Arabidopsis thaliana: one gene and its partners. The protein of the gene in region 2 interacts with the protein of the main gene of each other region in a pairwise test. Each region holds a gene or a part of one and is shown on either strand. Other genes may lie near its edges.

What was found.
Region 1: the proteins of AT5G49420 (region 2) and AGL75 interact in a two-hybrid assay, tested with the Arabidopsis thaliana proteins (one large-scale study listed by BioGRID).
Region 3: the proteins of AT5G49420 (region 2) and AT3G10595 interact in a two-hybrid assay, tested with the Arabidopsis thaliana proteins (one large-scale study listed by BioGRID).
Region 4: the proteins of AT5G49420 (region 2) and AGL54 interact in a two-hybrid assay, tested with the Arabidopsis thaliana proteins (one large-scale study listed by BioGRID).

Annotation. Positions count from the first base shown.
Region 1 is NC_003076.8:16,488,948-16,492,063, reverse strand, and holds AGL75 (AGAMOUS-like 75), read right to left. Parts: upstream 1,521-3,116; coding exon 528-1,520; downstream 1-527. Other genes in the region: AT5G41190 (RNA-binding NOB1-like protein), read left to right, coding at 2,052-2,370, 2,502-3,116. UniProt on the Arabidopsis thaliana protein: Probable transcription factor that may function in the maintenance of the proper function of the central cell in pollen tube attraction.
Region 2 is NC_003076.8:20,034,116-20,038,178, forward strand, and holds AT5G49420 (MADS-box transcription factor family protein), read right to left. Parts: upstream 2,091-4,063; 5' UTR 2,056-2,090; coding exon 1,051-2,055; 3' UTR 998-1,050; intron 801-997; 3' UTR 557-800; downstream 1-556. Other genes in the region: AT5G49430 (WD40/YVTN repeat and Bromo-WDR9-I-like domain-containing protein), read right to left, coding at 3,223-3,418, 3,497-3,555, 3,763-4,063.
Region 3 is NC_003074.8:3,311,278-3,314,844, forward strand, and holds AT3G10595 (Duplicated homeodomain-like superfamily protein), read right to left. Parts: upstream 1,555-3,567; 5' UTR 1,539-1,554; coding exon 1,270-1,538; intron 911-1,269; coding exon 628-910; 3' UTR 508-627; downstream 1-507. Other genes in the region: AT3G10590 (Duplicated homeodomain-like superfamily protein), read right to left, coding at 1-34; CAT7 (cationic amino acid transporter 7), read left to right, coding at 2,692-3,091, 3,190-3,567.
Region 4 is NC_003076.8:9,530,119-9,533,270, forward strand, and holds AGL54 (AGAMOUS-like 54), read left to right. Parts: upstream 1-1,621; 5' UTR 1,622-1,726; coding exon 1,727-2,290; 3' UTR 2,291-2,579; downstream 2,580-3,152. Other genes in the region: CDC20.3 (cell division cycle 20.2, cofactor of APC complex-like protein), read right to left, coding at 1-963.

The DNA of each region.
Region 1 (3,116 bases), 3.5 Mb from region 2:
GGAAGTTGCTGCAGAGTGCAGACATTATGGTAGGGAAGGAATCATCATCACAAGACAAAAAATAACAGTAGTGTGAAGAGTCACCTGCACAATTTATCTTTAAGCTTGCAAACATTAGTGTCCAAACACCACCCCCACCCCCCCCCCCACCCCACCCCCACACACTGTTCTCATGTTTACTGAAACTGTAATGCTTATGTTGTTCCGTTTAATAAACATGCGATGATTATTATTTCTTAGAACAGAGAATCACTGAAACAGGTTTGAAAAGAGAGGATGTTATATCTGTGAATAGAAAAGACAAAGACAAAGTGGAGGAATCAGAACTCAGCCACGGTTATTGCTCTGTTGAGAGTCTATTGGAAATTTGGCTTTATTATGATAGAGAGCAATCAGAAATAGATAAAATTGGCTTTTAGTAATTAATGTTTCTAGGGATGATGATTCAAATTTATTACAATAGCTGAATACAGATCAACAACAACACATCAAATTGATTCAAGATGTTCTTAATAAATCATAAGAATTTAACAAAAGCCTGCATAACCGTAACCGTAAAGTTCATTCTGCATTAACTGATTCAACCAGGGGTTCTTCACAGATTCTTCTACCGCCGAGTAATGTTGTGTGTTTGAGACGCAAGGATTTTGAAAGCTGTTGCTATTGATGTTACCCATAGACATGTTTTGATCACAACCATAAAACTCCTTGTACATCAATTGATTCAACCCAAAGTTGTTGACAGATTCTTGTACCGCTTCTTTGTTTGAGACGCAAGGATCTTGAAATTTGTTGTTTGTGATGTCACCCATGCTCATGTTCTGATTCTGATCATAACCACAAATCTCCGGCTTCATTAACTGATTCTTCAACTCAGATTCTTCAAGTAACGCTGAGAAATAATCCTGATTGAAATTTGATGCAGAGACTGGGATCTGAGACAGAGTATTGTCTCCATGGTTATACATAAACAGCGAGAACTGGCTAGGGTTCAAAGATTGGGTGTAATGATTCAGAGAGGATGGTGTTAAACTCTGATGATCCGGTTTTGTCTGATTCTGTTTCTGCGACTCAAGAAATCGAAGCCTTTCTTGGAATTTAGAGACATGGAGTTCCAAGGACTGAATCAGTGGAGAAACTTGGTCGGGAGGGTAATGATCAGCGAGTGGATACTTTAAAATATTCACGTTCTTAAGACTCGTCTTCATCTTCTTGTTCGGATTCTTCAAACCCTTGTTCTTCTTCTTGTTCAGGAACCCATGAAGATTAACGCTTTTCTTGCGTCTCAATGCTTCGTTCAATAGACTATACCTAAGAGCAATGTCTCTCACTTTCTCTTTCTCCTTAGGCCATGTCTTAAGTTCTCCGTCTGGTCCGTAATAGATAACGCAGGCTTCGATATCACAAAGAGTGCAAAGCTCTGAAGCTTTCTTGAAGATGGTCTCAAGCCTATTGCTCAAACTTGTGAAAGCGAGTGAATAAGAAGAAGAGGACGAAGGTGAAGATGATCGCATAGTCATCTTCTTGTTGATTGCAAAGACAAACTCTGTGTTTTTTCACGCTCAAAGTTAAGAGAAAGCACGAAGACAAACTTTGGCTTTGTGAAAAAGATGATGAACTATGAAATAGTTAGAAAGAATTAGATATATTTATAGATGATCGGTGATAAAAAAACGCGTAAAGATGTGTGCATAGATAGATTCGTTTCGATTTCCATATATTTGCATAGATTCGATTTCCATAGATTTTACGTTCTAGAGCCGTTAAGGGTTGATAAAAAGGAAACACAACTATAATTTGATATCATTAACCCTTGATATGATCTAGTTTGGTTTGGTTAATACTAGTCTTCAAATTCTAGCTCTAATCAGATAGTATTTTATACATCTACGCAATTATTTGGGCCTTGTGAGGCCCATTTAAAATTATGGACAAAAAGCGACGTCGTCTCGGATCTGACCTAGGTTTTTGTTTACACTCTTCTTCTTCTCTCCATCTCTCAGTCTCTTCGTTAAACCCACCCACATTTGAAGCGGCAAATAACGAAAACCATGGATCCGAAACCAACCTCGATGTGGAGCTCAATTGTGAAGAAAGATCCACCTTCAAAGCCTCCGGTTAACGACGGAGCTCCGGCAGCGATTCTCGGGATGGTCGGAAACTGCAAATCCACAAAAGGAATATCTATTGCGGTTGTTGACGCCAACGCCATCATTGAAGGACGTCAGAGCTTAACAAACTTCGCCGACAAATTCGTAACTGTCCCTGAGGTTCTCTCTGAGATTCGTGACCCTGCTTCTCGCCGTCGTCTCGCTTTCATCCCTTTCACTATTGATACCATGGAACCTTCTCCTGAATCTCTAAGTAAAGGTACACTTATTAGTTTTGTGATTCTTATTCTTGTGATTGTGAAATTTGTACCTAAGTAGGTATTTGTATATTCTTGTGTTGGAGAAAAGATTGTATTGTATCTCTGAGATTGATTGTTTTTGGTTCTGCAGTTATCAAATTTGCAAGAGCTACTGGTGATTTGCAATCTCTGTCTGATGTTGATCTGAAGTTGATTGCTTTGTCATACACGCTTGAGGCTCAGGTTTATGGCACCAAAAATCTTAGAGATGTTCCTCCACCGATTCAAACTGTTAGAGTTAAGAGATTACCTGAGAAGGATTTACCTGGTTGGGGCTCCAATGTGGCTAACTTGGAGGAGTGGGAGGCACTTGAAAACGAGACTGAGGAAAAATCCAACGCTAACTCCAAAATCCTTCCATTGAAAGACCTTAACATGAATATTATTGCTTCAGACAATGTTTCTGAGGTTGGTTCTGTTGTCTCTCATACTGAGAATCATGAAGAGGATGTGCAGGAAGGTGGGAAGAAGCATAGGCGATACCCGCCCAAGAAAACAGAGATTAAGCTTGAGGGTAAGATGGTAGTGGAGGGAGTTGATGCATCCCAGGGGCAATATGATGATGATGATGATGCTAGTGATTGGAGACCCGCAGTCAGTAGAAGTACTCACTCAAAGTATCTTAGAAGAAAGGCAAGGTGGGAACATTACAATGCTTTGGCTGAACAAGAAATTCAGAAAGATCAAGAAGCTGACAAAGCTCGAC
Region 2 (4,063 bases):
GATTGATCTTAATCAAAGCGGTGGAAAGACGATGAATGGGGATGGCGACGAGATCGAGTGGATGCAGCGGAATGAAAGGGGAACGAATTGTACTTCCAAGAGTGATGAAAGACTCTTAGACTACGAGCTTGGATCCAACTTAGATATTACACACTAAGAAGAAAACAAGTTGAAAAGATACTACACACTTTTCAGATCAAACAAGTGAAAGAGAAAGTTTTTGATTAAAATGTTTGATGATTACAAATGAGAACTACAATGAGTTTATATAGGAGAGGAGGAAGAAGGGGAAGAGGTGAGAGAAGAAAGACATGCAAGAGCATGCACAAGTACACACTCATGCAAAGAGTTTTGGAAATAACAAAAACAATAAATGCAAAGTTTGAAGAGAAAATAGAAAATGGGCCACGGCATTGTGAGTGGGCCTTGGACCACGAATTGAGCTGATAAAGGGAGGCTTGAAAGTGTTCCTTAGGCCTCATTAAAAACCTTGTCAAGAAAACCCATTGGGACAAAACTTGATAAGGGAAAAAGAATGCATAAGCAACACTTAACCCTTTACCGAGCCTCTTGAGCCGTGATCACTATGAAGGAGGATTGAGTCACGTCTTCTTGATTCTTCTTTAGCTCCTTGAGTAGTCCATTGATAGCTTGGTTGAACTTCTTAGATTTTGATCTTGTTAGAGGACCCGCCAGAACGATTAATGCTTCCTCCGGTACAAGCTGCTTCTCGTCTTTTTGTGGTTCAAGTGGTTTGGTTGCCTTGGTCATGTTCTCATCGCATGAGTTTGGACTTGAAACTACAAATACAAAACATAGAAACAGAAGACAAATATTATCATTAAACCAAACTGATGAAGCAGAGAACCAGTTTGATTTCGATCAATTTCCCTCATACATATATGTATGGAAAACTGATCGAGGTCAAACCAGACCCTTTCATTCATTACATTGCTAAAACATATCTGTAACCAAAATTAGCAGAATCAATACATACATATAATAAAGAAGTAACTAGAAGTTAGTTTGAAAACTGCAGAGAAATTATCTTCAAAGTGCTGAAATAGTGTTTGCAAAGTCTTTGAAACAATCAGAGAATCGTAGATTATCTCCATCCAAACATCTCTGAAAATAAGAAAACGGAGTTAGATCCACCGAGACTTGATCATCAACAACAGCGTTCAAAATACTTGCACTAATCTCCTGATGAGTAGTGTTGTCCGAAAACCAATCATTTAGCGCGCTCTCAAAAGGCGTGTCGAAGCCAATGTCTTGATCGTAATCCAGGTTCATTTCAGGTAAAGCAGCGTTGTTATCCATAACACAAAAAGTTTCACAAATCGAGCGAATCTGATCTTGTTCTTCAGTGATCTCATTGAAATTTTCAGGTGAATTATCAGGGACGCAACAAATTGCAGAAGTACTCGACTGAATATTTAGGGTTTGATTTGGCTCTTGAGTAATCTCGTTGAGATTTTCTGGGATGCAACAAATTGGAGAAGCGGACTGAAGAATTAGGGTTTGATCATGAGTTTCGTGGTCTGAAACAAAATCGCACTTGTCGTTGTTCTTCAGGTCCTCGCGATCATTAACGAAAGCTTGATTACAGGCTAAAGCTTCATCCGCACGCAATTCCTTGAGATTCCTCAACAGCGTCCGCATAGAGTCGATCGCTTCACTAATCTCTTGAGGATTCTCCGATCTGGCAAGGCTCTCGTCGTTCCACCAAAAACCTAACCCTAGATTATTGCGAGTCAAACAGATACCAACGTCCTCCCTCGTCTCTTTGTTATCCTTCGGAACAGGACGTTGTCCGGAGAGAAAAGCAGAGACAACGGCATCAACAGAGGAGTGACCGAAAGAGTAGAAGGATACGTTGGATTCAGAAGAAGGAGGAGTCGCTAAGATAGCGATCTGTGCGTCTGAGAGAAGACAAAGCTGAGAGGCTTTGCTATAGAGACCTTCACGGCGTTTGGTGCAGGTAACCCTAAGGGAATCTCTCTTCTGTATCGTCTCAATCGCAATCTTCCTCTTCGTGCCACCTTTTTTCACCATTCTGATTGATTTTTCTCAATTTTGTTGAGTGTGGAGAAAGATAATTGAAAAGTGAAGGCTTCTTCTATCTCTCAGTCTCATATATATAAGGGAAATATCGAAACCCCATATCAATATCATCCACCTAAACCGATTAAACCACATGGACCGTAATCTTGTATGGGCTAAGCCCAACTATCCACCAGAATCCTTTTTTAGTGCAGTCTTATTTATTTTTATTTTGATAATTTTTAGTTATTGTATTATGATTCAGATTTATTTGGAGATATTTTTATTTTTCAAAAAATATTATTTTGCTAGATTCTACAAAAAAAATTTTGTCAGATTATTATGAGAGAGACAAACAAATATATAGCTGGTTCTTCACATTATCGTGTTCATTCTTTCTGGTTCTTCACTCCTTAAAATGTGGCTATGGAGTTGACAAAGGTGACCTGGTAGCAGAAGAAAACTTTGTTAAAGACCTACTGAAAAACAATAGTCCATCAAATAAAACTAACAAAAAAGCCTATCAGCTATCCTAAACACACAAAACTCAAAATATCAATACCAAGAAGAAACAATTGTAATTGGTGACTATAGAACAAACCTTGAGAGAGGGTCATCAACATATAATCACTGACTGATTTCATTGGAGCTTAACCTTGACAGTGTTTCAAAAACACCTAGCAATATCTATCACTCAGTTTACTACCACTGTCTAGAGCAACCAAATCGTCCAGACTTTCTATAAAAACGTTGTTTCTTAGTATTCATCAATTTTTTGTCAAAAATATTTGCAATTATACTGTTTTTGTCTTGATCATCTATTGTAGACTGGATATTTGCACATGTAATGTCAACAATTTCATCTGTTGTTGTACCATTAGCAGAAAAAGAAATGATTCTCAAATTTGGGGTTGGTCAGTCAACAGAAGATGATTCCAAAGCATCAAACGTTTTTGACCTCTCCTCCAATTTCTCTTTACATACAATTTCAAAAAGAAAAAGATTATCTCCAACTAAACCCTAAACCTAAAATTTTCTAACTGAAGGAAAAAAAATCCCCTAAAATTCTCTTCTGCCATTAGAACCAGAGTTTTTAAAGAATTGCAGGAAACCTAACTAAATAATTTGGAAACATGAGAAAAAAAAACATCAGTTTATCTACATAGGCGCGATGATAAGCTACGAAGAAGGTAGCGTCCGGTCGAACCAGTTAGAGAGATTTGAGATTTTGGCTGCTACACTTTTATTTCGACCAAAGAAAGTCTCTGCATTGGACAACATAACTGATACGTCGTGTCGTAATGCTTCCACACTTCGGTAATAGTTGTTCTCAAGCCTTGATCTGATTACTTCAAGAGACAAAGGAACTGGGAACCTGCAGAATGAATCCATAGAACAAAACCATGTCAGCTTTGGCTCCACCAAAGACTCTTCCAGGGTTGTAGAAATTTACCTGTTGGAGTAGCTGGAATTTCCCACGGTCTGGTTCAGTTTTCGGAGGCCAAAAGAATCCTGAAACAAATTAGCCCACATTATATCAATATTGTTAGTTCTTGGGATAATGTTGTGTCTTAATCCACTAAGCTTTAGAATGTGATCTATAAACCAACTAAGCTAATGTAAACATGGGCCTAAGCTCTTTGGGTGAAGTCTGAATTTGGTGGGGAGGATAGGCTAGATTTAACACCATGAGATATTATATTCATTAGGATCACATACCTGGGTTCTCTTGTCTGAAGTCTCTAACTTTGTTAAGGCCGAGAGCAAACGGTTTCGTTGCTCATCATCAATGTGAGGCTGCTCCCACTTGGTATCTGCATCAAAAAGCTCCCAGGGACTGTGAAGATGTGTCTCGGCAGGGTCACTCTTGTACTTAACTGTGTACCTCTCCCACGGACTATCAGGAAAATCAGGTGATTTGGGTTTCACAGCTAGAATCCGTCCTTCCCACCAACTACCATCTTCTTCGCCTTCGTCTCTCCACCAAACTTTACACTTGTCCCTGCAAGTCCAGTTCCTC
Region 3 (3,567 bases), on a different chromosome or scaffold from region 2:
TGTCGTCCTCCGTCCAGCGTGGACTCGAAGCCATAGTATCCGAGAAAATGAGAAAAAAAAAAAGAGATGGCTAAAAATTCAAGAAACAAGAAGATCGTTTTGTGGAATATGTTACGGAAGAGCGATTGTTTGTTCGTTTTAATTTTGGCAACCTGACAATTTATAGAGGATCAAGTAATGGGTGAAAATTACAAAATTAGCCCTCACTTTACAAAAAGAAACACGATTTCGTATTTAAACACGCACAACTTGACTCAGAAGTTTTCTTCTCGTTTACGTTTAGACGTACGCAGTGGGTAAAACTTGGAGTGTAATTTCAAGTTATTTTAGTTTCCTATTTAACCCCAACTTTATATATACTACGTACTTAACTTGAAAGCTCCATCTTACGTGTATCTTCTGTTTAGCCTAGATGAAATAAAGCAAAAAATAAAAACATTGAAATATATATTATTTTAATGGTTAAAGAAAATAATATAGATGACCACAAAATTAAATAAAATATGGTTTGCCAAAAAAATGGAAATCCCAAATCTTTAACATACCACACAAAAAAAATAATCAAGGGCCTTCAATATCTTTAGGCTTTTTATTTTTTGGTTGTTAATACAGTCATAGAGATTTATATCACTTTGAGTTGGGGGCCTTAGCATGGTGACCGATTTCCAGAGCGACGAGACTCTCTTGTTGGCCTGTTGAGTCCACATTGGTGTTATTTGCTCCCTGCCGTTTCATCACATTCACATCGGTGCTTGCCACATTTAAGTCGTTAATCACATTTTTCTTTGAGCTTTGCCACTGGTAAAAGTTTTCTGCATATATCTCGACTTGGATCGGGCTCTTGCAATCCAATAAGACGGCTATTTTACGCCAATCTTTCCCAAATCGGTCTAACCCAATCAGAAACCATCTGCATTACAATTTCCACCAGTTCATAGATCAGCCCATTTTAATCAAGTTTCACCATGGCATTATTAGTTAACGATATAAATTGAGTCAAATGAAAAAAAAAAAAAAACTATATTGTCCACATTAAAAAAATAATGCTAGAATGTGTAAATCGTAAGATCATAGGACTAAATACATTTTAATCTCAGAAATGAACTATGTGAATTATGGAGTCTAAGAGGAGAATGCGTCTAGCTAGATCCACAAACCAATACCAGTACTAATCAATCATTATGTTTATAATTGAAACTTATACGTGTATGTAAATTCCACTAACTAACAAAAATCATAACTCATCACTCATTAATCTTATATACTTACTCATGTGTTTCTTTGGTCCATATAGTTCTCTCGGCCTGGTACGAACTTTGAGCCATATCCTTAGTCAATTCATTAGGAAAAGCTACTCGACTGGATCCCATCTCTAAAAGATCATTGACCAATTCCTTGTAATGCTCCTTAACATCATCCACCGATCTATCCACATACTCGGCGACACTCTCAAACCGAGTAAGCAAAAAGGCAGTGAACATCACCAGTGCATCCTTGAACATCTCGTTCTCCTCTGTCGTCCATGAATTTTCAGCCATGATTCCCAAAACAAATTAAGGAAAATGAAGTCTACAAAACAGAATGGTGTGAATCTGGAGAACTACAGTATATATAATAACTCATGTAAGGGATATGGCAGCTTATAAATCAACTCAAGTAACAAAAAATATATGGCTTCTCTTCTCTCAAATTGGGGTGTATTAAGTTTCCTTCCTTTTTCTTATATTCAAAGGGTAAATTTTATTTCAGATTTTGCTATATTGCATACAAAGTCTTTATTTTATTTCTTTCTACTGATTTATTGTCATTCATTTAGTTTCCTATATCCTTTTTATTAAATTTGTTTTATAATATTGACGATTTTAGCCAATTAGATTATGATACGTGTACAAATAAATTTTTATTTTCACACGTGTTAGCAATCAGAATTATGATACGTGTTACAGCCAATTAGATTATAACACGTGTATAAACAAATTTATGTTTTCACACGTGTTAAAAATTAAAAATTTAACATACAAAAGATTATAGACCTAATACCACACAAATAAAATAAATAGTCAAAACTTTAGAAATTAAGAACTTTCATTAACATGAAAGAAACAAAAAATTGTTTATTTTTTCAAACTCTCTTCACACGAAAAGGAAAATAATCAATCATAATTATTCACCAAGTTGTGAATATTGCGACGGATTGCAACGATCCCGGTTACTGGTTGGTCACTCTGATACTTAAAAGAGTAACATTTTTATCCATGTTCGTTGGTTGCATTCGTTAAACAAACAAGTTGTGATTATTATCGACCATTGTCCAAGGAAAAATAAGCATTCATTATTTATACTAGGAATTAAATATTTGCCGTCTAAACTCAAATAATAAAAATTGGGAGACCGAACAGATTATAGAATATTTGTGTTAATGCTTACGTGATTTATTTATTTTAGTCGATGCTTATGTGATCACTGATCATTATGAATACAAAAAAATAGAAGCTACTTTAATATAATAAAACTAAGTTGACCAAAATAATAATAATAATTAGCGTTTCCAAAGCTTGTAATAAATTACACCAAAAAGCGTCTAATTCTTTTTTTCGTCTCTCAGTCTTTTGCAATCTCACATTATAAAACCACTTGTTTCAAATTACTCTCAAAAACATTATAATCCGTTACATATTGACCCGACCCGAAATGGAGGCCCAATACCGGAACCACGACGGAGACACCTCTTTCTCTAGCCTCCGTGTCTACCTCAACTCTCTCTCCGACACTCCCTCCCGTTTTTCCCGCCGAGCCGTTTCCGTTTCCACCTCTTACGACGAGATGAGCCGCGTCCGCGCCGTCTCCGGCGAGCAGATGCGTCGTACTCTCCGTTGGTACGATCTCATCGGACTCGGAATCGGTGGAATGATCGGAGCCGGAGTCTTCGTCACCACCGGCCGTGCTAGTCGTCTCTACGCTGGTCCATCAATCGTCGTCTCTTACGCAATCGCCGGACTCTGTGCTCTACTCTCCGCCTTCTGTTACACCGAGTTCGCCGTTCACCTCCCCGTCGCCGGCGGTGCTTTCAGCTACATCCGTATCACATTCGGTCAGTAACATTCTCCCGCCAAAATCAAAACTCCCAAATCGCAGAGAAATTCAAATTTCATTTTTTCCTCTCCGATCATTCATTTTTTTCCGTTACAGGCGAGTTTCCGGCGTTTATAACCGGAGCAAATCTGATAATGGACTACGTACTGTCAAACGCCGCCGTTTCAAGAGGATTCACCGCTTATCTCGGATCTGCATTCGGAATCTCAACATCGGAGTGGAGATTCATCGTCTCCGGTCTCCCAAACGGATTCAACGAAATCGATCCCATCGCCGTTATCGTCGTCCTCGCCGTCACGTTCGTCATCTGTTACAGTACGAGAGAGAGTTCGAAGGTGAATATGGTATTAACGGCGTTACACATTGCATTTATAGTATTCGTGATCGTCATGGGTTTCTCGAAAGGAGACGTAAAGAATTTAACCCGACCCGATAACCCGGAAAACCCATCCGGATTCTTCCCGTTTGGAGTTT
Region 4 (3,152 bases), about 11 Mb from region 2:
TCCTACACCACCACCAGTTGCAAGCAAAGTTGCTTGGAAAGGGCACCACGCAAGAGCTCTCACTGCAGCTGTATGTTCCTCAAACCTATGCAGCCATTGCCTAGTTGGTTTTGAGGAAGCGACAGAACGATGATCCCATATGTGTACTACATTGTAGTTACCACCACTTGCTAGTTTTTTTCCAGATTCTGACCACTTAAGACCACAAACCTCTTCAGTGTGACCCAAGTAAGTTCCAACAATGGAAGATCTGATCCTCACATCATTGTTGACGATCTTTCCATCCATTCCTCCAGTTGTTAGAATGTGATTGTTCCATGCCAATGATCCTACTCTTGACTCGTGACCACCTATCAATGTTCTCACTTGACGATTGGAAACAAAATCCCAAAGCTGGACTTCACTGTTGTCAAGACCAACTGCCAGATCAAGACCATCTTGCGTCCAGTTAATACTTGTGACAGGTCCCTTGTCTTCATCAATAGTCACAAGCTCAGACGTAGAGCCACTGGAAGCATCCCACAAGTAAACGGTGTCTCCCAAAGCAATGGCTAAGACGTTAGCACTGCCCCAGTCCAACAAGTTAAGGTAGAAGTCATCCATAAGACCAGGTGCATCCAAGACTCTCTCACTATTCTGAGGAATGTATCTACGAGGCTTTACGGATTTAGGGTTTTGGTGAGGAGAATCAGAGTGATTGCTAGAAAGCAGAGCTTTAGGTTTGTTTCTGAAAGCAAGAATACGGGTGCGATTCTGATTCATAACCACAGCCAATTGCGTCATGTAGGCTTTTCTTGATGCTGAAGTTATCTCATCGACATTACGTTTTCTTCCTTGGGTAAGAGCGTAGTTAGCAAAATCGAAATCCATGGCGGATCTGTTTGGGATGAATCTGTCCAAGTTTTGCTTGGAAAGTTTCCTCGGAAGAAAGTGGTCTGGAACTGTACACGTATCCGAATCCATTACAACGAAACAGAAGGAATTAAACGAAATTAGAGAAAGGGGACTAATCAAATAAAAGCTTGCAGAGAAGAGAAGTAAGCGTTAGTAAACAAGTTAGAGAAAGAGACAACGACTAATCAAATATATTCGAGCAGAGAGAGCGAAGAGAGCGAAGAGTTTTGTTTAGCCGCTGAGAGGGAAGCGAATGATGAAGAACATATATTGAAAATAGTGGAATCAATTTAGTTTTTTTTTTGTTGCTGTCCTTAAATTATATAGAAAATGTTTACTACAACGGTTAGATTGATATTTGTAAAATCGGATCTAATTTATATTTCCTCTATGATATCAAACATACAAAGGATTTTTATTAGACGTGATCAAAATAAAAAAAAGAAGAAGAAGGATTTTTACTACAATTATTGAAAAACCCCAACGGTTAGATTAATATCAGAACCGTGTTACACAATTATCAGATTTTATTTTCTCTCTGATAAGCTACTTCTTTCTTTTTTTTTTTTCTTTTTTTTTGTGTAAACAACAATTAAGGGTTTTTGCTTACCTTAATTAATTATTTAATTATTACCTTACAACGGTTAGAAATCGGATCTGATTTTAGATTACATCATTAAATGAAGAAACGATATGGAAATCGATCGAATTTAACAAATTCTATATAACCCTCTCAACTTTCACTGAATTATATCGTTCAGAGTTTATTTTCTCTTTGAGAAATAACTGAAAGCTTCTTTTTCTTTCTTTCTCTGTGTAAACAAACATCACAATGGATTCTTCAACGTCTACGAAGAAGAATACCAAATTGTTTGTAAGAAACCAAACTTGTTTCAAGAAATCGTCTCTGTCTTCTTCCAATGCAAAAAAGACCACGAATTTGTCGATGAGAGAACAGACCATGTTTAAGAAAGCCTTGGAGCTTTCGACTCTGTGCGACATCGAAGTCTGTGTCATATACTATGGTCGTGACGGAAAACTCATCAAGACATGGCCGGAAGATCAATCTAAGGTTCGAGACATGGCAGAGAGGTTTAGCAGATTACACGAGAGAGAACGATGCAAAAAAAGAACCAACCTTTCTCTGTTTCTACGTAAGCAGATCCTCCACGACAAGAAATTGTCGGAGAAAGTCTTAGAGATGGAGGATTCGTTAGAAAGTGGTCTACGGGTACTACAAGATAAGCTTCTGTTACTCCAACCCGAGAAAAACCAGACCGAGTTAGGTCAGAGCTGTGCGGTTTATTCCACAACGTATCCATTGTCTTCTCCTTCGCTGATTGAGGATCATCAACATCAACAACAATGGACAGAACCATTGTCAAACACAGAGTAAGACCTATCAACGTCATCATTGAGTCAACATGAGAGCAAATTTTCAGTCTTTCCCTATAACCATGATGATTGTAGCTTCTGTCAAATCCCTAACTCTGTTTCTAGCTTTGAGCAATCGACTTTACTTGGGGAACAAGGATCTGGTCTAGGAAGTAACTCTGATCTTCCTCCCATGGTGTTTACTCCTCAGATGCAGACACAAACCCCACTTGTCCCCTTTGATCAGTTTGCGCCATGGAATCAAGCACCATCGTTTGCAGATCCAATGATGTTCTCTTATAATTAGGTCTTGTTGTTCCAAGATCTGTTCTTTGACTTGGTCAACGTTCTGTTATTTTCTATTATATATTCTCAGTTTAGGTTATGAGTTTAATTTGTATGTTTTCTAAGTATGTATGAATGCTATTTTTTCAAGTTTTAAAAAAAGTCTTGGCTTCTTCTATATTTGTATGAGTCTACAATTTGAGTTTGAAAACCTGCTTTATTAAGATCTTTAATATACAATAGACATTGAAATGAATGCTAGATGTACATAATTTATGCAGATAAGCCAACTAATTGAGTAATTGAGCTTGTCTCGGTGTGATCTTCAGTTTAATTTTACGAATCGATTTAATGGAAGAGAAGATAATAGGATAAGCAAATTACTGCAGCTTCCGACAAAAGATGATGTCAAAAGTAGTGTTTTGTCCAAGAGGTGGAGAAACTCTGGCTTCGTTGAATTTAGATTCCAATGAATTTCCAGATTACAATGCCTTAGTGAGTTTTGCTGATAGGTCTTTAGATTCCTCTAAGGATTCATGCTTGTACAAGCTCAGGTAAAGTGTGTCCGGAGGATTGAGAATGAACAGTTTTGTGTCAGT